4 linked regions of the Stegostoma tigrinum genome follow. The protein of the gene in region 1 purifies or fractionates together with the protein of each later gene. This does not show direct contact. Links are inferred from orthologs where the notes say so. Each region holds a gene or a part of one and is shown on either strand. Other genes may lie near its edges. The genes, in order: cops5, klhl42, DDB1- and CUL4-associated factor 1-like and BTB/POZ domain-containing protein 2-like.

Region 1 (7,722 bases):
TTGTAGTTCTTTTTATCCATGCCTTGCTGCTCAAAACAGCTGCTGGTATAATCCTTATGTATATTCCTGACTCTGGTCCCTTGTCCTTCAAAATTTCACACAGTCCTTTCAGGTACAATATGTGCAACTTATCATACAAGCATGGATTAAACAGAAAATTCATTTTTTATTGACCTTAACTCAGTTAACTGGTTTCAGTCTGAAGATAACGTGGCCATTTTAATGCAGCCGTGGAACGTCTATTTCATATGGTTTTCTTTGCTTTAGTCTGTGATTAGATGACACAACAGCCATTTTAGATTCATTTTTGCCCTTTTAAAAACTGTTTTTAATCAATGTGAGGTATGGTAATTAGATGATAGAAGCTGAATATTGATGGTCCACTTTTATTACATTGTACATGACATTTGCATTATTAAACAGAAAATGCCAATATGACTATGGTTACAAAGATTTCACATTTAATATTTTTTGAGGACTTGATTATTAGAGGATTGTGAAAAATTGACTTGTTTGAAGTTCTGTGGTTGCCTGGATTGTTAACTTTTTCTAAAAATAGAGGTTGCACTAGAATCTTTTTTAAATTTACGCATTTATTGGACGTGACATGGTTTCAGTTAATTGATGGGCTTGTCTGCTGGACATCACTTACCTGAGTTTTATAATTACCAATGGTCTAGTTTCTGTGTTAACATTGTTTTGCACAAAGTTGGTGTCCAGTCTGCTGAAGGAGAGAAGCTTCTCAGCTCAACTCAAATAAACATAAAGAACTGCAGATGCTGGAAATCTTAAACAAAAATCAACAGTGCTAGAGAAACTCAGCAGGTCTAGCAACATCTGTTGAGAGAAAAATAGACTTAATGTTTCAGATCCAGTGACCCTTCATCAGCACTATGCATCCTTACCTGTTCTAGAAAAGTGATAGTGTGCTGCTGATTTGAATTACAGTGGACCTTGCGATGTAGGAATTCCCATAGCGCTGTTATAAAGGGACTTTCAGAATTCTGACCCATGGCAATTAAGAAATGTTTACACAGTTCTAAGCCAGGATAATGTGTGGCTTGGAGTGGAACTTGCATGTGGTGGTCCCCATGCATCTGCTGCCCTTATCCTTCTGGATAAATTGTGGATATGGAAAGTACTGTCAAAAGGAGCCTTTACAAGTTACAGGAGTATATCTTCTCGATGATGCACATTGCTGCTACTACATTGGTAGTGATGGAATGAATATTGAACATGGTGGATGGAATGTCAATCAAGAGGGTTGCATTGTCCAGGATAGTCTCAAACTTCTGGAGACTTGTTGCAGCTGCACCCATTCAGGCAACAGGTGATTATTCCATTATTCTTTACAATTGTGCTTTGTACATGCTGGACAGGCTTTGGGGAGTTAGGAGGTGAGTTACTCTCTGACCTGGTTTTGAAGTCTGGTTCAATTCAATTTCTGGTTTATGGTAACCCCTAGATTGTTGATAGCAATGGATTCAGCGATGGTAATGCTAACGAATGTTGAGCAACACATTTTCTCTTTTTGGAGATTGTATTGCCTGACACTTGTGCAACTATTATTTGCTACTTACTCAAGCCTTAATGTCTCAAATACCAAGAACTCAAAATTCATTGGTTGCATCAATATCTGAGGAGCTGCGAGTGGCGCTGAACATTGCGCAATCATGGGCAAACATCTTCCGACTGACTTTATGATTTGCAGAAGGCAATTGGTAAAGCAGCCAAAGGTGGCTGAGCATAAGCCACTACCCTGAGGAATTTCTGCAGTGATAACCCAGAACTGAGATGATTGACCTTTAACAACCATAAAATTCTGTCGTCGTGCTAGTTATGATTCCCACCACCTTGGCTCCATGTTGCCACACTCAGAACAAAGATGCCTTGGTATCAAGGGCAGTTACTGTGGTCTCTGATATTTAGCTCTTTTGCCCATTTTGGACATAGGATGCAGGGACTCAGTAACCCTGTTGAAACCCATGCTGAGCAGACTATTCATTTAGAAGTGCAGTATGGTGGCCTCTTTCATGACTCCTCCCTTCACTTTGCTGATGATAGAGAGTAAACTAAAAGAGCAGTAAGTGTCTATGTTGGATCTGACCTCTGTTTTTGTGAACAGGACATACCTGAGCATTTTTCCACATTATCAAGTAGAGGCCAGTATTTTGCAACAGTTAGGCTATGTGCCAGCTAGCTCTAGAGCACAAGTCTTCACTATGATTGCCAGAATATTGTTAGGGCTCATAGTTTTGGCAGTATCTAGCATCGTCAGCCACTTCTTGATATTACTAGAATAAATTTAATTGCTTAAATTCTGGTAACTATAACACCAGGATAGATCATTCACTTAGCATTTTTGGCTAAAGATGGATGCTCCTTTTGAACAGATGTAGAGCCGGGAATATTTGTTTAATTGTCCACCACCATTCAAAACTGGATATAGCATGACCAAAGGGCTAAAAGCTGATCCATTGGTTGTACAATCATTTAGCCCTGACTATTGCATGCTTCTTCTGCTGCTTGGTATGTAGGTACTCTTGTGTTGGGCTTCACCAGGCTGACATTTCCTTTTTAGGTATGCCTGGCGCTGCTTTTGACATTCCATCTTGGGCGCACGGTGGCTCAGTGGTTAGTACTGCAGCCTCACAGCACCAGGGACCCGGGTTCAATTCCAGCCTCGGGCAACTGTCTGTGTGGAGTTTGCACATTCTCCCCATGTCTGCGTGGGTTTCCTCTGGGTGCTCCGGTTTCCTCCTACAGTCCAAAGATGTGCAGGCTAGGTGGATTGGCCATGCTAAATGCCCATAGTGTTCAGGAGTGTGTGGGTTAATAGGGGAATGGGTCTGGGTGGGATGCTTCAAGGGGCAGTGTGGACTTGTTGGGCCGAAGGGCCTGTTTCCACTCTGCAGGGAATCTAATCTAATCTAAAAAGCCTTCATTGAACCAGATGCAAGTCCTCAGCTAGAGTACATTCAGTGCTGGACAGGTTTTGGAGAACTGGACGCAAGTTAGTCGTGACAGAATTCCTAGTCGCTGACTGGCTCTAGTAAACATAATGCTTATATGGCCGGTCCAGTTCAGTTTCTGGTTTATGGTAGCCATAAGGTGGTTGGTTAATGGTGGTAATACCATTGAATGTGATGATTGGATTCTCTCTAGTTGAAGATGGTCATTGCCTGGAAATTGTGTGGTGCAAATGTTACTTGCCACTAATCAACACAAGTGTGAATGTGTCAGATATGAAAAACATAAAATCGTACACTGGCTGTGTCAGTATCTGAGGAACCACAAATGGTAGTGAACATTGTGCAATCATTAGCACATATCTTCTTTATGACCTTATGATGGATGGAAAGTAATGTATCCTTGCCACCTCCGTGCTTCCTCTAAATGGTGTCCAATGTGGCAGATAACAAAGTGTGAAGCTGGATGAATACAGCAGGCCAAGCAGCATCTCAGGAGCACAAAAGCTGACATTTCTGGCCTTAGGTTTGTTATCTTGGATTCTCCAGCATCTGCAGTTCCCACTATCTCTCCAATGTGGCAGAGTTTTGATTCATCAGCCAAAGGAGAGATGGTAGGTGGTAATCAGCAAAAGCCTTTTCTGGTCCATGTTTTATCTGATACCATGAGACTTCGTGGGACCGTGAGTCAATGATGAGAATATCCAGGGGGACTCTCCCTGGATTTTATAAATCCACGCTGCCTCCTCTAGTGAGTCTGACCTTCCAGTATGATAGGAAATAACTCAAGTATGGTGGTGGTGGTTGTGTCTGGAATATTGTCTGTAAGGTTTGATTTCATGAGCATGACTACGTCAGGTTTTTGCTGTACCAGCAATTTTGGCACACGTCCTCACGTCAGTAAGGTGTTTGCAGATTCAACAAGGCTGGACTTGCATTGTTGCTCATGGTCCCTGCATCCCTAGTTTCATTCTTTTCTTTTGACTTTGTAGCAGTTTGATACAACCAACTGTCTTGCAAGGCCATTTCAGAGAGCACATATGAGTCAGTCATATCTGAGGAAGGTTCAGTGGACTCAAAAAGTTAACTCTTGATTTTTCTTCACAGATGCTGCCAGACCTACAGTTCTTCCTGAAACTGCTTTTGTTCCTGATTTACAACATGTGCTGTTCTTTCCGTTTTTATGAGTCAGTTGTGTTGGTTTGACTTATATATTGGCCAGACCCAGATAAGAATGACAGATTTCTAGCCCTAAAGGGCATTTGTGAACCAGAAGGATTGGAATGCTACTGGTGATTTGCTATGTTCTAATGATATTTTAATATAACTTATGCTCTGAAGGTATTTTCTACCCTTCTGTTTTGGTGGTCTCCAATTTAAATCAAAAGAAACAGTAATATCCTAATTATAAGTACATAAGAACAGGACAGCGCCGTTGAGGTCCTCACGACTGCCCTGCCATTTCATACTCATCATGGCCTCCAACTCCCTTTACAGCCTGCTGCCCGTAACTCTTCCTTACTTACTAATTAAAAAATTGTCTATGTCCTCCTTAAATTTATTCAACATGCGGCATCCATCGCACCCCAGGCTGGTGAATTCCACAGATTCACCGACCCTCTGAGTGAAGTTAATATGAGCTACTGTCGTCCTGGTGCGAGTTCCTCGCGTTCATCATAATATGAGCAGATCGTCACAGTCACATTTCCAGTCGGTTATTCCACTCTCCTCCGCCAGAGGGCGGCGCACTCGCTGACAGCTCGGGAGACCTTAGTGGCAGGCGCCCCGTTGATCTTAACCTGCCGTTAAATTCGGCGAACAAACGAAAGTCGGAACACAACGCGTTGGCAATCTACCCTAAACGACATTTTTAATTTAACTCGCTTGGGTTATTTGGTCTGATCTGCACCCTCCGCCCCCCTGTCCCCGGGGGCAGCGTGGTGAGTGGTGCCGGGCCGGAGCTGTCGCCGCTTGGAGGGGGCCTGGGCCTGCGCGTGCGCCTGGGCCGTTGACGGTTCGGTTGGTATTTGGAGGTGAACCTTCAAACCGGTGAGGAGGAGGAGGCAGGTGAAGGGGAGAAGATGGCTGGTGCGAGTGGTAACGTCGCGCAGAAGACTTGGGAACTGGCGAATAACATGCAGGAAGTTCAGAGCATCGATGAAATCTACAAATACGACAAAAAGCAACAGCAGGAAATCCTCGCGGCGAAACCCTGGACTAAAGAGTAAGTCTGTTACTCCTGACAGAATCAGAGGAGCAGTCAGAGATCCTTTTGTAGGCCCGACCCTTGTTATAAAATAATTATGCCCAAAAGTAACAATCCAGTCAGTTATTGTTAATAACAACATCGTCAGAAAGTGCTTTGGGATAAATCTTTAATACAAAAGGATAAAGTAATTTCCTCATGAACACAATTTGTAATTTTTAGTACCTCCCTGTTTTATTCTGTATTAGCATATTAGAACTATACGTCCTAAACTTTTCCAGCAAGATTGACTTTAGCAAAATACAAGTGACTGCGAATGCTGGACATCTGAGAAACTCAACAGGCGTGACAGCATCAATGCAGAGAAAGTACAGAATCAATGTTAGTGTGGACTCGAAACGTGCACTTAGTTTTCTGTCCACAGATACTGCCAGACTGACTTTACTGCTGCGCCACCAGCTCTGTAAATGTCTGATTATTCTTATTAGTCAATAAAAGACATACAAGGGCATAAGACAAGTCCAGTGACTTTCTTCAGCACTGTGTTTTGGCAAGAGGATTTTTTTTAAAAAGGGAGCATTTGAATGGTTAGAGATTGCAGAACTCGGAGATTCAGAGAGAGCTCGGTGACCGTTGTATTACTCACGAAAGGCTAGTATGCATGCACAGCAAGTAATTAGGAAAGTTCATATGGTATTATTTATTGAAATGGGAATTGAATAAAAAATTAGGGTGCTTATGCTTATTAAGTACTGGTGAGAACACATCATAAGTACTGTTTATTAGACTTGTCTCTTATGTAAGCAAGGTTGTAAATATATTGGTAGCAGTTCAGACTATCAACAATCATTCAGTAACGAAGGAAGTAAATCACTCCAGTTGCACAAAAATTACATTGGCTACTTTTTTTGTCAACCGGTGAACCAACATATAGCAATTATATGCACACTTTGAATTTGGAAGTTGACAATTTGCCTAATTAGTTATTTATAAGTCAGATATACTGTAAGAAAGAAATTGCATTCATTCAATGATATTCATGACTTCAGCGCTCCCTAAATATGCTACAATTGATGTAGCCCTTTCTACAGTGTAATCATGCTTATAACACAAGAAACTCTGTCAGTTTGCACACGACAAGTTCACATAAAAAGTCATGCCCACAATGACCAGGTGGTTATGTTGGTTGATGGATAAGTATGAAAAAAAATCCTGCACTTGTATATTACCACAGGATCTTTCACACCTGCCTGATGGGAAGGTAGACAGAGTCTAAATCTGAAAGACAGCATTGCGAATAATGTGTGATGTGAGACCATTTCCTTCTGGTTCTGATGCCAGAGTGCTTGCCACTGAGCCACTGCTGACTGCTGATAGCCAGCACTGTCTATGCCCACCTCACCACCAATCCGTGGACTAAAATACAAAATATTTGTTAGATATTTTTGTATGGTAGTACTGAGGGAGTTTTGCAATGGGTGTGAAGTTAATTTATTTCCCATCCATCTGTCCAAAAAGCATAAAGAAGGAAGAGCAGCGAGTTGCCCCAATTGTAGTTGATGTTCTTCCCTTCACCAGCACTACCAAAAACTGTCTCCCTGTAAATTGCTATTTGCAAGAAGTTGGTGTATGTAGTTTATCTACATAATGAGTAAACTATATTTTTATTATTTTTCATTTTAGCAATTATCTTCATATATTAACTGAATAATATTGATAACCTTTATGTATATTGCATTATTAAAATTTTGTTTTCTATCCATTGATATTTTAATCTCTAAGATTTTAGTGTGAATGCAAGAGCCTTGTGACTGTATCAGCAAGGTCAATTGCTACATTTTTCTAATTATTGTAATATGTGCTTTCCAGTCATCATTACTTCAAATACTGCAAAATCTCAGCTCTTGCACTTTTGAAGATGGTGATGCATGCCAGATCAGGTGGAAATTTGGAAGTGATGGGCTTAATGTTGGGTAAAGTGGATGGTGAAACAATGATCATAATGGACAGTTTTGCTCTCCCTGTGGAAGGGACGGAAACAAGAGTCAATGCTCAGGCTGCTGCATATGAATATATGGCTGCCTATATAGAGAATGCTAAACAGGTATGTTAAATAAATTTACAGGTTTTACAACTTCCAACTCCTGTTCTTTTAATATGTTAATAATGCAAAAAAGTTGTTTATTTTCAGGTCTTTTAAAACTTTTTTAGTAACTGGAGTATCTGTCTATGCTTAGTGTAAACTTTTCAACTCTGTGCACAACTTTCTGTTATTAGGTTTTGGTCATGATAATTGCCAACTTTTTCCAGTTCTGAATATGCAAGTTTCCTTTGTTTACATTTTATTTTAGCATTTGTTTATTTGAACATGTCATTCTGCCAATCTGGTGACTGGGTTTTTGCAAATCTCCTCCAAAATTTTTATAGAATTTTTTTTTCTCTCCCTTGCTGACTTAAATATCTATACCAGAGTAAGAGTTTGAAAAACAAAATGAAATCTCATGTTTGCCTGGTTGCATTTATCCATTAAATTATTTTTGATCACTT
Region 2 (7,080 bases), on another chromosome or scaffold:
AGCCAGATGAATTTTAATTTGGATATATGTGGGCTATTATATTTTGGTAAAACAAACAAAGACTTACACAACTCAAAGTAGGACTCACAGAGTCATACAGCAGGGAAACAGACCCTTTAGTCCAAACAGGCCATGACAAACATAATCCCACACTCAGCTAGTCGCACTTGGCTGTTCCTGGCCCATATCCCTCCAAACCTTTCCTATTCATGTACTTATCCAAAGGGTTGTAGAACAAAGAGACCAAGGGGTACAGGTACATTATTCTTTGAAGTTTGCATCACATATAGGTAAGATGGTTAAGAAGGCGTTTGGCATGCTTGCCTTCATTGCTCAGACCGTTGAGTATAGGAATGGGGATGTTATGTTGAGATTGTACAGGACATTGGTGAAACCTCTTCTGGAGTATTGTGTCCAGTTCTGGTCTTCCGGTTACAGAAGAATATTACTAAGCTAGAGAGGATTTCAGGAGAGATTTACCAGTTGCTGGGACTAGAGGAATTGAGTTATAAAGAGACACTGGCTAGTCTGGAACTTTTTTCATTGGAGCATAGGAGGTTGAGGAGACAAGTTCGGGATTTATGAAATCATTGAGGGGGTATAGATAAGTTGAATGAATGGCAGGTCCCTTTTCCCTAACATTGGGGATTTCAAGACTAGGGTCATATTTTTAAAATGAGAGGGGAAAGATTTTAAAAAGACATGAGGTGCAATTTTTATTTTACACAGAGTGGCTCGTGTGTGCGGAATGAACTTCCGGAGGAAGTGATGGATGCAGGTACAGCTAGAACATTTAGAAGGCATTTAGATTAGTACATGAATACGAAATATTTGGAGGGATATGGGCCAGCGCAGGCAGGTGGGAGTAGTTTAGTTTGGGAGTATGGTTGGCATGGACTGGTTGGACCAAAGGGCCTGTTTCTGTACTGTATAACTGTATGACTCTATAACTGTATGACAGGCTCAAAAGTATGAATAGAATACTTATGCTCCTATATTTAATGTTCATCAGTGGTAGAACAGTGCAATGTTGGAGTGCCATCACAACATTGTTTCAACCCATTTACTGGACTTCAAAACATTGTTTCAATTAATTTTGTTTTAGTTAAGAAGCCAGTGTGCTGTACTTATGAAAGAAAAATGGTCTATAACACTTGTTAATTATCCCAAATACTGAAGTAACTGCTACTTAAAAACATAAGAAACTGGAGAAGGAATTGCTATTTAGCCCCTTAAGCCTGCACCAAACAGTTGGTCACTGTAGGCTTTTTGAATGATGCGTTAACTGGTTAGTACACAGGTCTCCCCACTTCTACCAACTGCAGATGACACCCAATCAAGACATTGTAAGTGCTCTGATTTACTATTTTTATTACTACAAATAAGGCCTGTTTGAAATGTGCAGCATTAAGAGACTAGTTGTACCTTTGTGAGAGAGGGGAATCCCCACTTCATGAGCTTTTCACAGGTTGGAAATGCTTTGGTAAAAATTCTGCTCCATTATCAAAAATAGATTGATAAAAGATCTGGGTCATGGTGATTCTGATTATTTCAAGCATTTATAAACTTTCTTATGTCATTTGTGAAACTGACATTTATCAGATATAAATTGTCTATAAAAAACGAAGGTTGTTGGTTATCGAAGCGATGTGAGAAATAATATTTCTGACAGCACAAAAAGAAACTAAGAACTGTAGGTGCTCGAAATTGGAAACACAAACAGAAATTGCTGAAAAATCTCACCAGTTCTGGCATCTGCCAGCATGCTGCCAGACCTGCACGTTTTTTGTTTCAGCAATTGCGGTTTGTATTTCTGATATCACACTGTGGTGAGAGTGAACTAAGTGATTACCAGCTTTGTACCTTTTTTGATTCATTGGTGCAATCTGATTCCATTCATTTTTGCAAGGATTGTAGCAATGTGCAGCCGAGATCTCCTGACTAGTCATTCTGTATCCACCAATGATGAAAAGGTAATTATTCAGCACTGTGGAACCATAGCCTCTCACATTCACCATGTCATGAGGGAGGCTGTTTGCCAAGGGTAGCCATCTCTGTCCAACCTCATCATATCTCAGCATTGACCAAGCCTCATCAGGAGACTGATCCAAGGAGGTGCTAAAGAAATCCCCTACTGCCACCAAGACAGCTGTGCCTTTAAGGCGCATCTCCCTGACTTGTTGATGCAAAGTCTTGGGTAGATGGCTAAATTCCTGCCTCCTCAGCATTGGGTGGTAATGACACACCATGAACTTGAGGCAGGCCTTTCTCAGATCAGCGATTCCGTAAATTTCAGAAAGTTTATATAACTCCACACAGTTATCCACCTTAATCTCAGAGAGGAGCAGCTTCAAGATGGAAGACACCTGGAGAAACGACGCTGTTTCCACTAAATCTTCCAAGGTCTCGTTATCAAAATGTACTTTGGAAGTGTTGATGAATTCAATGACGAGCTCCAGTCCATGCGCACTCAAGCCTTGCAGCTGCACCGAATCTTCTTCAGATTCCTTCATCCCGGAGTTATACAGGGCTTTAAAATAATCGCTTTTCTCAATTAACTTACTCTTATTGACATTGTACGTCTTATCGTCTATTATGATAGCTATGATTTCTTCGGAGGACATCGTATCAGCAGATGAGGACTGAATGAATACAGTCTGTTTTCTTTCAGCGGGCAGGTTCAGCTTTTATTTATATTTATTCGGATCTGCACGCGGGCCTACATCAGACAAAACACCCGTTTCAGTAGATTTATTAACATTGCCGTGTCCAGTGTAATATAACAGCAGGACCTTGTTGCACACAGTGCAAGCAATCACTAAATGCTTACTCGGTTTCTATGCATATTCGGTTGAAGTTTCACAGCCTGCTCGCTTGTTTCTTTAATCTCGTTTCCTTGTCATTTTTGTATCGTCACTTCTTGTTCCGTTTACAACGGCCAATCTCGGACTGCAAAAGGCAACAACCAGCACATTCTGCTCCTCTCGCATCTTACCTTTGAAAGGCACTCAGCTCGCTCTGACTGCGCATGAAATATTGCGCGGAGTTACATGTATCATTTGTGACAGTCTGGCAACGGTGTATTTAAAAACAAAAACAGTAGTATATTATTGTTCTGATTGTTTTTACAGATGTGGTACCGCGTCCTTTTTTATGATGCAATGGGATTTTAAACAGAGTCGACCAACTGATAAAATAAAAACCCAGCTGTTTCAAAGATAAATAAATTGTTATATGGACTTTATTTGAATTAAAAAAAACACTCAGTATGTACCTATAGACAACAGAAATCCTGAAGATCGTATTATAACTTTGCAGTGTTAGAAATGGAACTGTTCGCCTTGTCAAGATCACACGTTGAGCACTGCTTTGGGTACTGGCCACCGTGTACAAAGACAGCATTCCACAGTTTCGACAGTACAAAGCCAAGGCATTAGTTTAAGAGAACAGAGTCAGGAATGACTTTTTCCATTATGTAAATCACAATACTTTGTAATAAAGGAAGTAAGTGAGCGTTGACTTTAGGTACAAGAGCGAGTATAGAACCTGTGTTATATCTAGCCTTTCACCTCTCAAGGCTTCTCATAAATAATGGTAACATTTGAAATATAACCACGGTAATGAGGCAATTTAAACAGCGCAAGGTCCCTCAAATAACTGTTATTTGCTGCTGACGGTTGAGGGATAACATTTCGCTACAGAATCTTCTGCATCTACTTAATAGCAAGCAAACGGACCCTCGTTGAATGTTGTATCAGAGATAAAGGCCCGAAATGTCAGCTTTTGCGCTCTTCTGATGCTGCTTGGCCCGCTGTGTTCATCCAGCTTCACACTGTGTTATCTCCGCACTTTGTTACCTCGTTTAATGTCTCGTCTGAAATATGACACCTCAGCAATTTTACTGCTACACCTAATGTCAGCTGGAAAGACATACTCAAGTCGTGGAGTTGATAAAAAGAATATTTATACAGATATACAGAGAACAGAAGTTTGCATAAAGCAGCAGGGATACAGAAACAAAATATTGCAGGTATTGGAATTCTTAAATAAAACAGAAATTGCAGGAAATACTCAACAGGTCAGGCGAATATGTGGAGAGAGAAAAAGAGTCAATCTTTCAGTTCAATGAACGTTTACCTCCGTACATTAAATGGAGCAACTTAAATTTGCCAGGTAAGCAACATAAATTCATCATTATAATTAGAGGACAAGGTGGCATGTCAGGTCTTAAATTATCCCCTTTCTGAGTTTATTACTGTTATTTTATTGTTTGATCTTGAGACTATCTAGTTATCTGAACATCAGAAAATATAACCTAAAATCCCAAGATTAACTTCCTTTAATTCCTTTGACAAATAGCTTCCCAAGTTTAAAACTGAAGCTATCACTTTGAGAAAATTATGGTGAAAATAATCCATGACATTATTCATTTCTGAAAATTAAGTTGTAGTGAGATGATCAAGTATGAAGAGAGGCTGGATCAGTGAGAATTATATTCACTGGCATTTAGAAGAATGAGGGGGATCTGGTAGAAGTCTATAACATTCTAATATGACTAGACATAATAAACGCAAGAAGGATGTTCTGGAGAACCACAGGTCACAGTCTAAGGAAACTGTGTGGGCTATTTAGGACTGAAATGAGGAGAATTTCTTCATCCAGAAAGTGGTGAACCTATGGAATTCTCTGCCACAGGAAGCTGTTAAGGTCAAAACATTGAGTGCTTCCAAGAAGGAGACAACTAATTGCATCAACGGTTATGACGAGAAAACAGGAACAAGGTACTGAGTTAGATGATCAGCCATGATCATATTGAATGTTGGAGCAGTCTCAGCAGGCTGAATGGCATACTCCTGCTCCTATTGTCTTTGTATCTTGTGTTTCTATTAGAGACATACTGCATGATCATTGCATGATCTTTTGGAAACTTCAGCTGTTATAACAGAATACAACTATGGCTTTTGAAAACAGAGGCATTGTTTCACCAATTTAATCAGGGCTTTTTTTGAAGAGCTCAGAATTGGATGACAATGCTGTTGTGGATCACAAGCTCAGAAGGAAGCTTTCTGGCCCATTGTCATCTGTGTTAACTACTTGAAGAGTTATGAAGTTAGTCATACGTGCCCTTTTCCCCGTGTCCTGGATTGTTTTCAAAAATATACAAACAATTCCCTTTGTAATGCGATATAAATCTGCTGCTACCATTCTTTCTGGCAATGTGTCTGGAGTACGGTAAGGTCAGATCTAGTAAGGATAGCAGGTTTTATGACAACCAGCAATGGTTACATCATTGCCTTGAGGTTAGCTTTTCACTTTTTTTATTCAATTCAGATTTCACCACTTGCCTTGGTGGGAATAGAACTTAGATCCCCAGAGCATTGCCTGAGATTCTACATTGCAAGACCAGTAACTTTACGACTAAGCCACTGTCAGTGCTCAGTGACGCTGAATTTTGGTTCTGCCAAGGCCACTCAGCTCCTGACCTCATTGCAGCCTTGGTTCAAACATGGACAAAAGAGCTGAATTCCAGAGGAGAGGTGAGAGTGACAGCCCTTGATATCAAGGCTGCATTCAACCAAGTGTAGCATCAAGGAGCCTGAGCAAAACTGGGTATCTGGGTTGGAGTCATACCTGACACATAGGAGGATGATCGTAGTAGTTGGAGGTCAATCATCTCAGCTCCAGGACAAGTCTGCAGGAGTTCTTCAGGGTAGTGTCCTAGGCCTAACCATCTTCAGCTGCTTCATCAATGACCTTCCTTCCTATCATAAGGTCAGAAGTGAGGATGTTTACTGATGACTGAACAATGTTCAGCACCAGAGATAATGGGAACTGCAGATGCTGGAGAATTCCAAGATAATAAAATGTGAGGCTGGATGAACACAGCAGGCCAAGCAGCATCTCAGGAGCACAAAAGCTGACGTTTTGGGCCTAGACCCTTCATCAGAGAGCTGATGAAGGGTCTAGGCCCGAAACATCAGCTTTTGTGCTCCTGACATGCTGCTTGGCCTGCTGTGTTCATCCAGCCTCACATTTTATTACAATGTTCAGCACCATTTGTGACTGCTCAGATAATGAACAGTCCATGTTCAAATGCAATAAGATCATTCAATTGTGTTTCAATTGACATTCAATTGTGTTACCATCACCGAATCCCCTGCTATCAACATCCTGGGGGTTATCATTGAGCAGAAACTCAACTGGACTCACCACAGAAATACAGCTACAAGAGCAAGCCAAAAGCTAGGAATACTGCGACGAGTAATTCGCCTCCTGACTCTTCAAAGCCTGTCCATCATCTACAAGGCACAAATCAGGAGTATGATGGAACACTTCCCACTTGCCAACAACACTCAAGAAGCTGGACTCCATCCAAGACAACGCAGCCCGTTTTATGGGCACTACATCTGCAAGCATCCACTTCCTCCACCACCGACGCTCAGTAGTAGCAGTGTGTATTATCTAAAAGATGCACTATAGAAACTCACCAAAGATCCTGAGACAGCACCTTCCAAAATCATGACCACTTCCATCTGGAAGGACAAGGGCATCAGACATATGGGGGCACCACCACCAGCAAGTTCCCCTCCAAGCCACTCATCATCCTGATTTGGAAATATATTGCTATTCCTTCACTGTCATTGATTCAAAATCCTGGAATTCCCTCCCTAGCAGCACTGTGGGTCAGCTCACAGCAGGAGGACTGCAGCAGTTCAACAAGGCAGCTCACCATCATCTTCTCATGGGCAAGTAGGGATGGGCAAGAAATGCTGGCCAGCCAGTGACATACACAGCCCACAAATGAACACAAAAAAAATTGTCTTCCCAGACTATATCAAATTACACAGTCATATGGTCACATTACATAGTCATACTACATGACTTAGTACCCTTGACTTGCTTGATTATATCTGTCTGTTGAATCTGAAGCATTCAATCTGTGAGCATTTTGAAGGGGTTAATTCTATACTGTGATATAACTCCATTTAAATATGTAATCCAATGACATTACTGCTATTCCACATCATGCTAATAAAATCATGATAATGCGAAATGGAGTTAATTAAAAAAAACACTGGC
Region 3 (6,831 bases), on another chromosome or scaffold:
CAATATTCCTTTAAAAAAACGGTTGGGAGGAAATAAACTCAATATTTATTGCAAGACAAGATGACAAACAAATTGCACTGAAGACAATTGGGCCTTCTTTGCTTGCCATTTTTATTTGAAATATTATTTTGTTCTACAGGGTAGACTGAAGTACTTATTTAATCGAGGATGAGACTGAAACAGCAGTCTTTTCCATCCTGACCTCAGTAGGCCTCTTCTCTCCTCCCTCACTCTCCACACTTGCTTTCTCTTCCCCCCAACCACCTCTGGTCTCATCACCCGAGACTCTTCACCCACCTCTTTGGAGGAATGAGTCTGCGAAGAGGCAGACTCAGCACCCCATTCCTCAAGTGCTTCTGCAGGCCCACTTCCCCACACAGTCCCTCGTCACCAACTCTGCCACCCCGACACAGTCCCTCGTCCCCATCTCTGCACACCCCACGCAGACCCTCGTCCCCGTCTCTGCCCCCCCCACGCAGACCCTCGTCCCCGTCGCTGAAATCCACCCCCCACGCAGACCCTCGTCCCCGTCGCTGCAACCTCCCCCCACGCAGTTCCTCGTCCCTGCACACCCCCCCCACCCAGTCCCTCGCCCCCGTCGTTGCACCCCCCACCCAGTCCCTCGTCCCTGTCGTTGCACACACCCCACCCCCCCCAAGTCCCACGTCCCCGTCGTTGCACCCCACCCCAAGTCCCAGTCGTTGCACCCCCCCGCCAAGTCCCACGTCCCCGTCGTTGCACCCCCCTGCCAAGTCCCACGTCCCCGTCGTTGCACCCCACCCCAAGTCCCACGTCCCCGTCGTTGCACCCCACCCCCGAAAGTCCCACGTCCCCGTCGTTGCACCCCCCCGAAAGTCCCACGTCCCCGTCGTTGCACCCCCCCGAAAGTCCCACGTCCCCGTCGTTGCACCCCCCCGAAAGTCCCACGTCCCCGTCGTTGCACCCCCCCGAAAGTCCCACGTCCCCGTCGTTGCACCCCCCCGAAAGTCCCACGTCCCCGTCGTTGCACCCCCCCGAAAGTCCCACGTCCCCGTCGTTGCACCCCCCCGAAAGTCCCACGTCCCCGTCGTTGCACCCCCCCGAAAGTCCCACGTCCCCGTCGTTGCACCCCCCCCGAAAGTCCCACGTCCCCGTCGTTGCACCCCCTCCACGTCCCCGTCGTTGCACCCCCCCACGTCCCACGTCCCCGTCGTTGCACCCCCTCCACGTCCCCGTCGTTGCACCCCCCCACGTCCCACGTCCCCGTCGTTGCACCCCCCCCACGTCCCCGTCGTTGCACCCCCCCCACGTCCCCATCGTTGCACCCCCCCCACGTCCCCGTCGTTGCACCCCCCCGTCATTGCACCCCCCCCACGTCCCCATCGTTGCACCCCCCCCACGTCCCACGTCCCCATCGTTGCACCCCCCCGTTCCACGTCCCCATCGTTGCACCCCCCCCCCACGTCCCACGTCCCCCGTCCCCATCGTTGCTCCCCCCCCACGTCCCACGTCCCCCGTCCCCATCGTTGCTCCCCCCCGTCCCACGTCCCCATCGTTGCAACCCCCCCCGCCCCACGTCCCCATCGTTGCAACCCCCCCCGCCCCACGTCCCCATCGTTGCAACCCCCCCCGCCCCACCGTTGCAACCCCCCCGCCCCACGTCCCCATCGTTGCAACCCCCCCCGCCCCACGTCCCCATCGTTGCAACCCCCCCCGCCCCACGTCCCCATCGTTGCAACCCCCCCCCGCCCAAGTCCCACGTCCCCATCGTTGCAACCCCCCCCGCCCCACGTCCCCATCGTTGCAACCCCCCCCGCCCAAGTCCCACGTCCCCATCGTTGCAACCCCCCCCGCCCAAGTCCCACGTCCCCATCGTTGCAACCCCCCCCGCCCAAGTCCCACGTCCCCATCGTTGCAACCCCCCCGCCCAAGTCCCACGTCCCCATCGTTGCAACCCCCCCCGCCCAAGTCCCACGTCCCCATCGTTGCAACCCCCCCCGCCCAAGTCCCACGTCCCCATCGTTGCAACCCCCCCCGCCCAAGTCCCACGTCCCCATCGTTGCAACCCCCCCCGCCCAAGTCCCCATCGTTGCAACCCCCCCCGCCCAAGTCCCCATCGTTGCAACCCCCCCCCGCCCAAGTCCCACGTCCCCATCGTTGCAACCCCCCCCGCCCCACGTCCCCATCGTTGCAACCCCCCCCGCCCCACGTCCCCATCGTTGCAACCCCCCCCGCCCCACGTCCCCATCGTTGCAACCCCCCCCGCCCAAGTCCCACGTCCCCATCGTTGCAACCCCCCCCGCCCAAGTCCCACGTCCCCATCGTTGCAACCCCCCCCGCCCAAGTCCCACGTCCCCATCGTTGCAACCCCCCCCGCCCAAGTCCCACGTCCCCATCGTTGCAACCCCCCCCGCCCAAGTCCCACGTCCCCATCGTTGCAACCCCCCCCGCCCAAGTCCCACGTCCCCATCGTTGCAACCCCCCCCGCCCAAGTCCCACGTCCCCATCGTTGCACACCCCCCACCTCAAGCCCCACGTCCCCATCGTTGACCCCCCCCTAAGCCCCACGTCCCCATCGTTGCACACCTCCCCACCCCGGTCCCACGTCCCCCGTCATCCTCTTCAAGCCACACTGCTTCCCCAACCCCGTCCTCCTCCGGATCCTGTCCTCCTTCCAGTCTCTCCCCACTTTTTCCCTCCAACTCTCTGTTCTTGTTGTAGTTTCCTCTCCCTCGCGGACCGCTCCGGTTCCCCCCCCCTCCACCTCCTCACGTGTGGGCCCGGGGCCTCAACCACGGCCGGCTGCGGCTTCCCCTCTCCCCCCGCTTACGGTGAGGCCTCGCTCCGCCTCCCCGCGAGCCGAGAGGGTGTGGGGGCTACCGTTTGGCTGCCCTGCTGCACCGCCGGAGACTACGATAGTAGCGATCCCCGGGCGGGTTCCCACTGACCTGGCTGTCTAGCAGCGATGAGCTCGGTCTGTATCAGCGTCAGGCCCTAGGCTCCACGCTCCCAGTGATGGCGGCTGTGACGTCAGTTCGTTGCTGCGTGTGGCCGCTCGGCATTCTGGGGCTTGTAGTCCAGGCGTTTGGACATCACTGCGCCTGCGTAGCATCGTCGTTTCCCGACGTGGCGTGGAGCATCGTACGCGCAGTGGTATGGTCCTTACTTGTGGACCAGGAGACCGTATTTGCTGCAGATGTGTGTGCACCGGCTTTATTTTTAAAAAGTAGCAGAATTTACAACTTTGGCTGTAGTTCAGCCGAATTTTATTCTTTCTTCACTGTAGGTATGTAACCAACCTGTTTGGAAAACTTCAGAAGCAAGTGGCAGTTGAACCCAGTCCTTCAGAGGTGGTAAGTACGCTATCCCTGTGCCAATTCCTGTTTGCAATCTGAATTTGCCACATGGCGCTCGTTGTTGTCTTTCAATTGTGTTAGAAAGGGTTTAGGGTTAGGAGCCTTGCAGGCTTGGAGCTAGTCCCTTTCAATGCGAGGTCATGCCTTCCCCGCCCTTTCAAGGCGCCTTAAAAAGATTGTCTGGCTCCATTCCAAGTGAAACCAATATTTGTCGCCAGCCAACTGCAATCAAAATGCAGAAAAATGAAAATCATTAATTAAAAACAGACTGGTTGGTAATCATAATGTTTTTAGTCCTGTACTGCAAAGTATGTTGAGTTTAACTAAACATTAATTTTATCTAAGAAACACATTGAGGCTTTATCTGGCCTGGAGGCTGTGAGAAGATAATGTGACAATTCATTACTTTTTTATTGAGGCTGCTTGTATATCGCTAGTATATCATTCATGCTTCATTTTCCCATAATGGATATCACTTTTAGGTGTCTGGCAGTGAAGGGCAAGTGCTGTAAACTGGCTTATGTTTTCCATCTGTACCTGAAACAGCATAGTTTCCAGTCCTACAGAAGATGCATTTGTAGCAATTACAGTTGGTAGCAATGGGTTGGAGTGACCAGCATTAATCATCCCTAATTGCCTTAAGTTTGTTATTAATTTTATAGCAACTTGAACTAAGCTTTCTACTTTAGTACTGAGTGGGTGTTCAGATAAGTGGGGTATGGATGCTAGGGCAGTTGCTTGCTCCTCCTGCAGAATGTGGCAGCTGGGAGACATGGCACACGTCTCCACTGGCCACATCTGCGGGCAGTGCACCCGACTCCAGCTCCTTGAAAACTGTGTTAGGGAAATGGAGCTGGAGCTTTTTGAACTACGGATCATTCGGGAGGCAGAGGGGGTAATTGAGAGGAGTTACCGGGAGTTGGTCACTCCTAAGGCTCAGGACAAGGATAGATGGGTTACAGTTAGGGGGAAGAAAGGGGACAGACAGACAGTGCAGAGATCCCCTGTGGGCATTCCCCTCAGCAATAAGTATACCGCTTTGGATACTGCTGGGGGGGGATGACCTACCATAGTAGTCAGTTCTCTGGCACTGAGCCTGACACTGTGGCAAAGAAGGGAAGGGGGCAGAATAGAAAAGTACTCGTGGTAGGGGACTCGATAGTTAGGGGAATCGACAGGAGATTTTGTGGTCAGGATCTGGATTCCCAGAAGGTATGTTGCCTCCCTGGTGCCAGGGTCCGGCACGTCTCCGATCGGGTGTATAAGGTTCTAAAAGGGGAGGGCGAACAGCCAGAAATCGTGTTACATATTGGCACTAATGATATAGCCAGAAAAAGGATTGAGGATATAAAAAGTGATTTCAGGGAGTTAGGATGGAAGCTGCAAAGCAGGACGAACAGAGTAGTGTTCTTTAGTTTATTACCGGTGCCACGAGATAGCGAGGCGAGGAACAGGGAGCGGGCGCAGCTTAACACGTGGCTGCGCAGCTGGTGTAGGAGGGAGGGCTTCGGATATGTAGATAATTGGGATGCCTTCTGGGGAAGGTGGGACCTGTACAAGACGGATGGGTTGCATCTGAACTGGAAGGGGACCAATATCCTGGGTGGAAGGTTTGCTCGAGTAGTTCGAGAGGGTTTAAACGAGTATGGCAGGGGGGTGGGAACCTGAGCTGTCTCCCGGAGGTGAGAGTTGATGCAGGTGAGGCAATAGCAAGAGGTAGACCAGCTAGTGGGAAGGATTTTCCTGGGAAGGAACCAAGGGATCGGTTAAAGTGTGTTTGCTTTAACGCAAGGAGTATCAGGAATAAAAGTGATGAACTTAGAGCATGGATCAGTACCTGGTGCTATGATGTTGTGGCCATAACAGAGACATGGGTTTCTCAGGGGCAGGAATGGTTGCTGAATGTTCCAGGGTTTAGAGCATTTAAAAAGAATAGGGAGGGGGAAAAAGAGGAGGAGGTGTAACACTACTAACCAGAGAGGGTACCACAGCTACAGAAGCTTCCTTTGTCGAGGAAGATCTGCGTACCGAGTCAGTATGGGTGGAAATTAGGAACAGCAAGGGAGTAGTCACCTCGTTAGGGGTTTACTAAAGGCCTCCCAACAGCAGCAGGGAGATTGAAGAAAGCATAGGTCGGCAGATTTGGAAAAGTGTGGACGTAGTAGGGTTGTTGTAATGGGTGACTTTAACTTTCCCAATATTGATTGGAACCTCCTTCGAGCAGAAGATTTGAATGGAGCTGTTTTTGTAAGGTGTGTTCAGGAGGGTTTCCTAACTCAGTACGTTGACAGGCCGACGAGGGGAGAGGGCATTCTAGACTCGGTGTTCGGAAACGAGCTGAGGCAGGTATCAGATCTTGTGGTGGGAGAGCATTTTGGTGATAGTGACCATAACTGCCTCACATTCTACATAGCTATGGAGAAGGAGAGGATTAGGCAAAATGGGAGGATATTTAGTTGTGGAAGAGGAAACTATGATGCGATTAGACATGAGTTAGGAAGCATGGACTGGGAGCAATTGTTCCATGGTAAAGGCACTATAGACATGTGGAGACTGTTTAAGGAACAGTTGTTGCGAGTGATGAATAAATATGTCCTCTGAGACAGGCAAGAAGGGGTAAGAGGAAGGAACCTTGGATGACGAGAGCGGTGGAGCTTCTCATCAAAAGGAAGAAGGTAGCTTACATAAGGTGGAGGAAGCTCTAGAGGATTACAGGCAGACAAGGAAGGAGCTCAAAAATGGTCTGAGGAGAGCCAGGAGGGGGCACGAGAAAGGCTTGGCAGAACGGATTAGGGAGAACACAAAGGCATTTTACACTTACGTGAGGAATAAGAGAATGGTCAAAGAAAGAGTAGGGCCGATCAGGGATAGCATAGGGAACTTGTGTGTGGAGTCTGAGGAGGTAGGGGAAGCCCTAAATGAGTTTTTTGCTTCTGTCTTTACGAAAGAAACGAACTTTGTAGTGAATGAAACCTTTGAAGAGCAGGTGTGCATGCTGGAATGGATAGAGATAGAGGAAGCTGATGTGCTGAAAATTTTGTCAAACATTAAGATTGACAATTCGCCAGGCCTGGACCAGATTTGTCCTTGGCTGCTTTGGGAAATGAGAAATGCAATTGCTTTGCCACTTGCGAAGATCTTTGCATCCTCGCTCTCCACTGGAGTCGTATCTGAGGACTGGAGAGAGGCAAATGTAATTCCTCTCTTCAAGAAAGGAAATAGGGAAATCCCCGGCAATTACAGACCAGTAAGTCTCACGTCTGTCGTCTGCAAGGTGTTAGAAAGGATTCTGAGGGATAGGATTTATGACTATCTGGAAGAGCATGGCTTGATTAAATGCAGTCAACACGGCTTTGTGAGGGGCAGGTCATGCCTCACAAACCTTATCGAGTTTTTTGAGGATGTGACTAGAAAGGTTGATGAGGGTCGAGCTGTGGATGTGGTGTATATGGACTTCAGCAAGGCATTTGATAAGGTTCCCCATGGTAGGGTCATT
Region 4 (7,843 bases), on another chromosome or scaffold:
TTAACACTTTGGAAGCAGCTAAATAGCTGCGTAAGACATTGAGTTAAAAGAACTCAAAGACTAGCACAAACTAAATTACTGGATGGTTTACCTGAACAGATCAATGATCTAAAATTAAGCAGGTTAGTTAAAAAAAGATAATGCATTTTTAAAATGTACAGTATTTTTTTAAAAAAGGAAAATAATGTCTGCTTTCCTCAGCTCATATCATGTCCACAACATATATTCAATATAAAACACTAACAGGTTCTGTAGTGTAGTGATAGTGAAACTGACCTACTAACTCACAGGTAGTGACTTCAAGTCCTATTTCAAACCATATAATTGAATTCAACTAAGTTTATAAAACCCAAAAGAACTACGGATGCTCTAAATCAGTTCCTGGAAAAGCTCAGCATGTCTGGCAGCATCAGTGGAGAGAAATCAAAATTAGCTTGGGTCCAGTGTTCTGAGGAAGGGTCACCGGACCCAAAACATTAACTCTGATTTCCCATCACAGATACTGCCAGACCTGCTGAGCTTTTCCAGCAGCTTCTGTTTTTGTATTAATTAAGTCAATGATTACTGGACTGACATCAGAAACTGATCAATAGAAAACCTCAACTGCTTCATTATGCTCTATGTACTAGTCTCTCGACCCTTCCATGGTAGAATTTCCACAGTGTTTTCCAAACTCTTGCTTTAATATTGACAGGACGTCTGATTGTCTCTTTTTGTGTCTTTCACCGAAGTTGGTCGCTACAGCAGAACCTCACAACTTCCCACCATCGCCATTACCATGTGAATTGGCAGAGCAAACATCCACGTGCCGAGAACAAATGTTAAAAAGTACAGATTTTACACGACATAGTGTTGAAAATTAAAGTCTGTCAGTGTGCAGTGTTAATATGACAACAATGGCTGACACTTGTGAGGACAGGAATGTTTATATCAGCATTTTTAAGCTAGAATATGACGTGGCCACAATGTTCATACATAGAGATATGAGAAATGAAATCATAACAATGTTTGACCTCTGCTGAAACTATCCCAACAAAGAAAATGTAATTGTGTATCATGTGCACAAGATTTTATATTTACAATACCTGGCATGTGCCATTTTTGTAGCTGGATGAGAGACGTAAGGTGCAATTCAGCGATTGGGTTAGACTATCCTCCCTAACCTTTATATGTAGAAGATGTACACAATGGGATCATTAAGCACAGAATCTACAGAGGTCTTCAAACATGAGATAGGGTCTATTAACAGACGCACATAAGGAAGGGGCAGGCTGAAGAAACTATTGCACATTGGATGGTCAATTTTACATGGCAATTGAAGGTTAAGCATTTGTTAAATTTAAACAAGATATTAGATAGATCAAGATATTAAACCGCCTAGCAGAAATTTGTTAACCACAAACTATTCAGGGGTATAGATTAAAATTGAGCATTTACAGTTAGTTCACAGATCAGCCATGATTTTATTAAATTACAGGACAGGACTAAATGGCCACTCCCACTCCTATACTGTGATTAATTACTACATTTTTCCTTTCCGCTAATGGCCACAGGCAGTTGTAAAAGAGCTGATGCCAGGTTTTCTGATCCTCAGCCGGTTGCACTAAAAGCTAACATTGCAGGGAAAGCCTGTCATCCATTGAAGTGTTTCAATTAAATGGATAACCTCCCAGTGAAAAATTGAGTCTGCAATGCAGGGAAAGACAAACTTGGAAACTGATAGCCTCAGTTTCATTTTTTTTCTGGTTTGTGGAACTTCCTGTTGATTTCCAATTTTCACTTGGCTAGTCCAATGTGTACCACATGTAATCAAACACACCTGAGAACTTCAGTAAAAATACCATGCTTAATATTGGATAAGACCCTAAGAAAAATGAGTAGGTCATTCAGTCAATTGAGTCCATTCCACCATTCAGTTAGATCATGGGATTAAAAATCTGGTTATCTCAGCCTTGATTAAATTAAACAATTCAGCCTTGACAGCCCTCTCTGGTAAGTTGAGAGAAAAATAATTCCTCATTTTCTCTGTCTTAAATGGGCACACCTTACGCTGAGATAATGCCTTTCTTGTCCTAGACATTCTCACAAGTGAACACAAACTGTCTGCAGCGACCCTATCTCATCCCCTAAGAATCTTAAACATTTCAGTAAAGTCTCCTTTCATTCTTCTAAATTCCAATGAACACAAGCCCAACCTACTCAACCTACCCTCACAAGAAAATTTTTTCATACCCAGGGTCAAGCTAGTAAACCTCCTCTGGACTGTCTCTGATGCCAACATATTTTTCCTTGGATAAAGGGACCAAAACTGTTCATTGTATTCCACAGGTCTGTGGTCTGGCTAGTCCCTTTTATAATTTTAGCAAACACTCCCTGTTTTTATATTTAATTCATCCTGAGTGGGGCAACATTCCATTTGAATGACAGAATCTTTACATCACAGAAAGAGACAGATCAGCCCATCAAGTTCACACTGACCTTCCAAACCACACAAACCCAGCCTCCCACCATATCCCTGTAACTCTGCATTTCCCATGGGTAATCCACCCAGCTTGCACACTCCTGGACAGCATGGGCCAAATTTAGCATGGCTAATCCACCTAACCTGCACATCTTTGGACTGTGACAGGAAGCTGGCAGAAACCCATGCAGATACAGGGAGAATGTGCAAACCTTGCACAGGCAATTGCTTCGGGCTAGAATCAAACCCAGGTCCCTGGCGCTGTGAGGCAGCAGTGCTAACCACTGAGCCACTGTGCTGCCCTATTGCCTTCCCTATTATCCACTGTACTTGGGTGCTAGCTTCTTCTTATTCATGCACTGGGACTCCCACATCCCTAAGTTGTTCAGCTATCTGCAGTCTATCTCCATTTAAATGATATTCACTTCTTCTATTTGTCCTGCCAATGTGCATAATCTCATTTCTTCCCAAATTATATTCCATCTAATAAGTTTTTGCTCATTCATTTACCTTGTCTAAATCCCTGCATATCTCACCACTTGCCTTCTCACCTACTTTTATGTCATCTGCAAACTTGGGTATAGTACAATCACTAGCATCATCCAAGTCATTAATATATTGTAAATAATTGTAGCCCCAGAACTGAACCCTGCCGCACTCTACTTCTTACAGGTTGCCATCCTGAAAATGTCCTCTCGATCACAACTGTCTTATCGGTTAGTTAACCAATCTACTATCCCTGCTAATACACTAGCCCCACCACCACGGGTTCTTACCTTATTAAGTGGCCCTATGTATGATACCTTAGTGAACGCTCTTTCAAAATCCAAAATGTAACAACTGGTTCCCCTTTATCTAGACTGCATGTTATTGTCTCAATGAACACAACCTATTGTTCCAGAAAACTATCACACATAGTTGCTATCATGGCTACTCCGCCAATTCAATTTTCCCAATCTACATGAAGATTGAGAGAAGATGAAGATTAAAGTCACCCATGATTAATGCCCTGCCTCTTTTTACATGGACTCATCATCTCCTGATTTATTCTTTGTGCTACAAAACAGCTAGTGTTCTGTTTTGTAATAACAAAGCTAGCCCACCACCCATACTTGTCTCTCTGTCTTTTCAAAAGGTCACAAGCCCCTGAATATTTAGACATCAGCATAAATCTCTTTGTAACCATGTGCCCATAATGGCTATAAAGTCATAACCATTAACCACTATTTGTGTCATTAATTCAATTATTTTGTGCTGCATACTTTGTATGTTTCAGACCCATTAATTTTGCCTTTTTACTGTGAATATCCTATCACACGAAGTAAATTACATTGAATGGCTGCATCAGTGAAGAGAGAAACAGAGTTAACATTTCATGTCCAGTATGAGTCTTCTTCCAACTCAACTTGTTAACTCTGATTGTTCCTTGATGGATGCTGCGAGACCTGGTGAGTTCCTTCAGCACTTTGTGTTTTATTTCAGATTTCCAGGATCTGCAATTTTTTGCATTTATTAAATCGACCACCAGTGGATTTACATATTATGATTTCATAAGAAGGGAGCTGTGAGCTCACTTATTTATCCTGTATATTAAAATGATAAAGATTTATGATTATTTATACTTAAATGGAATGCAGTTGATAGACATGATGTTAGAGTTGAATCAGAATCGAGTTAAACAGAACACTAGTGGAGTTATAAGCAATAATTTCGGTAGATGGAGTTGAGGGAACTTTCAACTTTTGAATAGATAAATATGGCTCATAATATTTATTTTTTATTGAAAAGAACAGACATAACAGAAGTAGATACACGAGTGTTGTTTACCTAATAGAAAAGAATATCAGTGGATAAATGATAATTTCAGCAAAGGGACCAAAATCATTTATCATTGCACATTCTAAAATAATAAATATGGTTAATTATTCTTTATTTGTGATTGAAAAGGGCAGAGATAATGGAGAGATTGGAGGGAGGTTGTGCTGACAGCAATGAGAATGGAATTATTGAGTATCAATAGATTTACAAGTAATGATTTCAGTAAATGGGGCTGAAGTCATTTATCATCCTACATATTGACATGATAAATATGGTTAGTTATTTATTATTTGTAATTAAAAGGGCACACCTAATCGAGAGATGTATAGAAAAAACTGTAACAACAGGAACAAGAATAGAATTATTGACTACCAGTGGATTTACAATTAATAATTAAGGTGGGGGGGGCAAAGTTATTTATCATCCCGTATATTAATATGGTGAATAAGATTAATAAATCATTATTTGTAATTAAAAGGGGCATAGATAACAGAGAAATGATAGGGATGCTGTAATAACAGCAACCAGTATAGAATTGTTGAGTACCAGTGGATTTACAAGTGCTAATTTTAGCAAAAGGAGATGGGGTTAGTTTTTTTTAAGGGGACATATGTATTTATGTTTGTGATTAAACTGGAGAAATATTCCAGAGGAGGGAGTTGTATTAAGTGGGGACTTTGATCTGGCTTTAAGGAGGGCCATGCTCTCAGCAGCTGCTGTTTGTAAACAGATGCCACTTCAAGATGGCGGCGGGAGGGAGCAACCTCAGCGCCTGTAACCGAGTCAACATCCCTAATGGCGGCGGCGGAGGTGGTGGCGGTGGATCGGGCAGCCCGAGCTTGGGCACCAGCTCCTCGCCGCCTTCCTCGCTGTCCGGCGGGGTCGGGCCGGGAGGAGGTGGAGGATCGGCGGCGGCGGCGGCAGCAGCAGCAGCGGCGGCCGCGGCTGTAGTCATTTGCCGGGAGCCCATGTACAACTGGCAGGCCACCAAGACGACGGTGAAGGAGCGCTTCGCCTTCCTGTTCAACAACGAGATCCTGAGCGACGTGCACTTCCTGGTGGGCAAGGGGATGGGGACGCAGCGGATCCCCGCTCACCGCTTCGTGTTGGCCGTCGGCAGCGCCGTCTTCGACGCCATGTTCAACGGCGGCATGGCCACCACCTCCACCGAGATCGAGCTGCCCGACGTCGAGCCCGCCGCCTTCCTTGCCCTCCTTAAGTGAGTGCGGCCTGAGGGGAGGGGAGGGGCGGTTATTCATCAAACTTACGCCGTGGTTTGAGGCCTATCTAGATCTTCTCCGCTCCAAGACGGATGCCGGCCCGTCCTTTAGTACTGGAGAAGTCTTATTTTATTTTCTTTTATTGCCCCCCCCCCCCCCGGCATATTTACGGCGTTTCCCTCCCCGCGTGTTTAAAGATGTTATCAAAGTATTATGTTTAAACTCGCAGTCGGGAAGGCGCAGTCTGAGTTTTTATAAGATGGTTCACGCCCTTTTTGTTGGTGTTTTGCGGTGGGGGAGGCTGGACTTTTGTAGCCTCGGGGCTTCATTCATAGTCAGCGGAAGGTTGCAGCTGCGCTGATCCAGTTGGTGGTGATGCCTTCTTGAGTAAATGGGGACTAGCTTAAGACAGACTTGTCCTTTGTAAGGTACTAAAATTGCATCGCATCGCATCGCTTTCGGGTTTTCGGGGAGACGAGGTTATGTTTTGCGCCTATGATGCAGCTGTACGTCTGGGTATTTCGTTTTTGGTTTGTGGACCTTGAAAGGGTCTCATTTTCAGTGCTCATTACGCCGACAGAATGAAGGCAAGATGGCTAATGCACCGCAGAGTATTGAAAGCTTTTGCACCTCTTCAGTCAGAAGACTAATCAAACTACATTCCTGTGAAAAGCTCAATATCTGCTTTACGCTTGGATTTTAGCAAGTGTCAGCAACATTTTTTTTATTTTAAAGGGGGCAGAGATTTCTGCTTATTGCCCCACCCAGTTGTTTTTCCACTGATGCATTAATATTTGGAATTAAAAATCTAATTGCTTCCAGATTTCTGTTAACCCCCCCCTCACCCTTTAAGTTGTAGCTCACAAATTTTAGGTGACAAGTCTGTTTAAGCTGCCTGTTTTTAACGCAGCTGATACAAAATGCACATCATAACTCTTGCCAAACATGTGAGTTTTACAGTCTTTTTTTTTCTCGCTGTTGGTGCGCATCATCAAGTGAGATATTGTGCAATGATGCACAACTTGACATTATAGAGCCCTTACTGTCTTTGAAAAGTGACATTTTGGACTATCAAATCTGTACAGCTTTCTTGCTTAAACCATTGGTTATTTGGTCCCAGGCTTTCAAAGTTATTTTTACAATATCTGTTGTCTGTGGTGCTGGAATGGTGGCATTAATCACATGAGGGCTTGTATGTAATACATGTAATTTTTTTTGTCTGAGCTGTGGCATTGTGTTGCTAGGTTGTTCTGCAGTTGAACCTGATCTTGCCTAATGTTGATGCACGCTTTCTAGTAGTGTACTATTAAATAGTCAGCTGGAACTGAAATGCCAGATAATGCATCCTAACCAGTGAAGGGAGAGGAGGGCAGCGGTTAACCTGAAAAAGAACCCCTGTGACTTTTTCATTTTCTAATCACTTAACAATACATGGGAGATGGTAGCATGGTGGTAACTAATGCTCTGGGGAACTTGTTTCAGTCTACAGCAACTGGTGGAAATTAAATTTCACTTGAGTTGAAATCCAGACTCGTTCAGGTGAGTGTGACACCATTGGAAAAGTCCTGAATGGGTCACTTCCTTCTACCGTTTTTACCTGCTCTGGCTTCCTTGCGGATTTTGTGGCATTATTCTTAAAATTGTAACCATATTTGTATAACTGATCCCTGTTAGGAGAAATAAAAGAATGCTTTGAAGTTACAAGTGAGTTCTTGGTCAACCACAATGTTCTGCCCTCTTGTTCGGAAAGCGGTGACGTACACCAGGATATAATTCATGTGAGCACTATCCTCGTCGGGGCACAGCATAAGCTCCTGTTTCCAGTTGTGAATTAGATTAGGCCTGATTGGGTGAAAATGTAAAAAACATTTTATTTTCACCCAGTGTCTATGCAGCTATTATTTGATGACTACTATTAATCTAGTCACTGTTCTGACAGAATTCAGCTCAGATCAGCAGTTGAGTTCCGAGGAAGGGTAACTGGACCCAAAACGTTAACTCTGATTTTTTTTTCACAGATGTTGCCAGACCTGCTGAGCTTTTCCGGCAACTTCCATTTTTATCCTAGCAATTAAGTAGTTTCTCTTCAGTGTAGCTCATCACTACATAGCACATTTACCCATCAAACCACTGTTTTAAGAGTTTGTTAGCTCAGACAGTTGGTTTGCGATGATGTGATATCAGTTGCACTGGCTCAACCCTTACACTTGCTGAGGTTACTTTGAAGGACTGTCCTTCTCAACTTCTCCCCTTACCTGAGGCATGGTGACCCTCTGGTTAAATCGCCTGCAGATGTGTATCTCTGATGAGAGATCAAACTGACAGCCCAATCAGACTATGGTGA

The links.
Region 2: the proteins of cops5 (region 1) and klhl42 purify together in Homo sapiens (affinity purification with mass spectrometry; 3 studies listed by BioGRID and IntAct, with this or other methods). This does not show direct contact. The link is inferred for Stegostoma tigrinum from reciprocal best matches to the Homo sapiens genes COPS5 and KLHL42.
Region 3: the proteins of cops5 (region 1) and DDB1- and CUL4-associated factor 1-like purify together in Homo sapiens (affinity purification with mass spectrometry; 8 studies listed by BioGRID and IntAct, with this or other methods). This does not show direct contact. The link is inferred for Stegostoma tigrinum from reciprocal best matches to the Homo sapiens genes COPS5 and DCAF1.
Region 4: the proteins of cops5 (region 1) and BTB/POZ domain-containing protein 2-like purify together in Homo sapiens (affinity purification with mass spectrometry; 4 studies listed by BioGRID and IntAct, counting the BioPlex papers as one, with this or other methods). This does not show direct contact. The link is inferred for Stegostoma tigrinum from reciprocal best matches to the Homo sapiens genes COPS5 and BTBD2.

What each region holds. Positions count from the first base shown.
Region 1 is NC_081358.1:31,124,301-31,132,022, forward strand, and holds the start of cops5 (COP9 signalosome complex subunit 5), read left to right. Parts: upstream 1-4,709; 5' UTR 4,710-5,050; coding exon 5,051-5,193; intron 5,194-7,044; coding exon 7,045-7,279; intron 7,280-7,722. UniProt on the Homo sapiens protein: Probable protease subunit of the COP9 signalosome complex (CSN), a complex involved in various cellular and developmental processes.
Region 2 is NC_081371.1:29,036,108-29,043,187, reverse strand, and holds the start of klhl42 (kelch-like protein 42), read right to left. Parts: upstream 3,003-7,080; 5' UTR 2,625-3,002; coding exon 1,864-2,624; intron 1-1,863. UniProt on the Homo sapiens protein: Substrate-specific adapter of a BCR (BTB-CUL3-RBX1) E3 ubiquitin-protein ligase complex required for mitotic progression and cytokinesis. The BCR(KLHL42) E3 ubiquitin ligase complex mediates the ubiquitination and subsequent degradation of KATNA1.
Region 3 is NC_081364.1:62,919,686-62,926,516, reverse strand, and holds the start of DDB1- and CUL4-associated factor 1-like, read right to left. Parts: upstream 3,006-6,831; 5' UTR 2,928-3,005; intron 1-2,927. UniProt on the Homo sapiens protein: Acts both as a substrate recognition component of E3 ubiquitin-protein ligase complexes and as an atypical serine/threonine-protein kinase, playing key roles in various processes such as cell cycle, telomerase regulation and histone modification.
Region 4 is NC_081383.1:17,877,170-17,885,012, reverse strand, and holds the start of BTB/POZ domain-containing protein 2-like, read left to right. Parts: upstream 1-4,824; 5' UTR 4,825-5,022; coding exon 5,023-5,498; intron 5,499-7,843.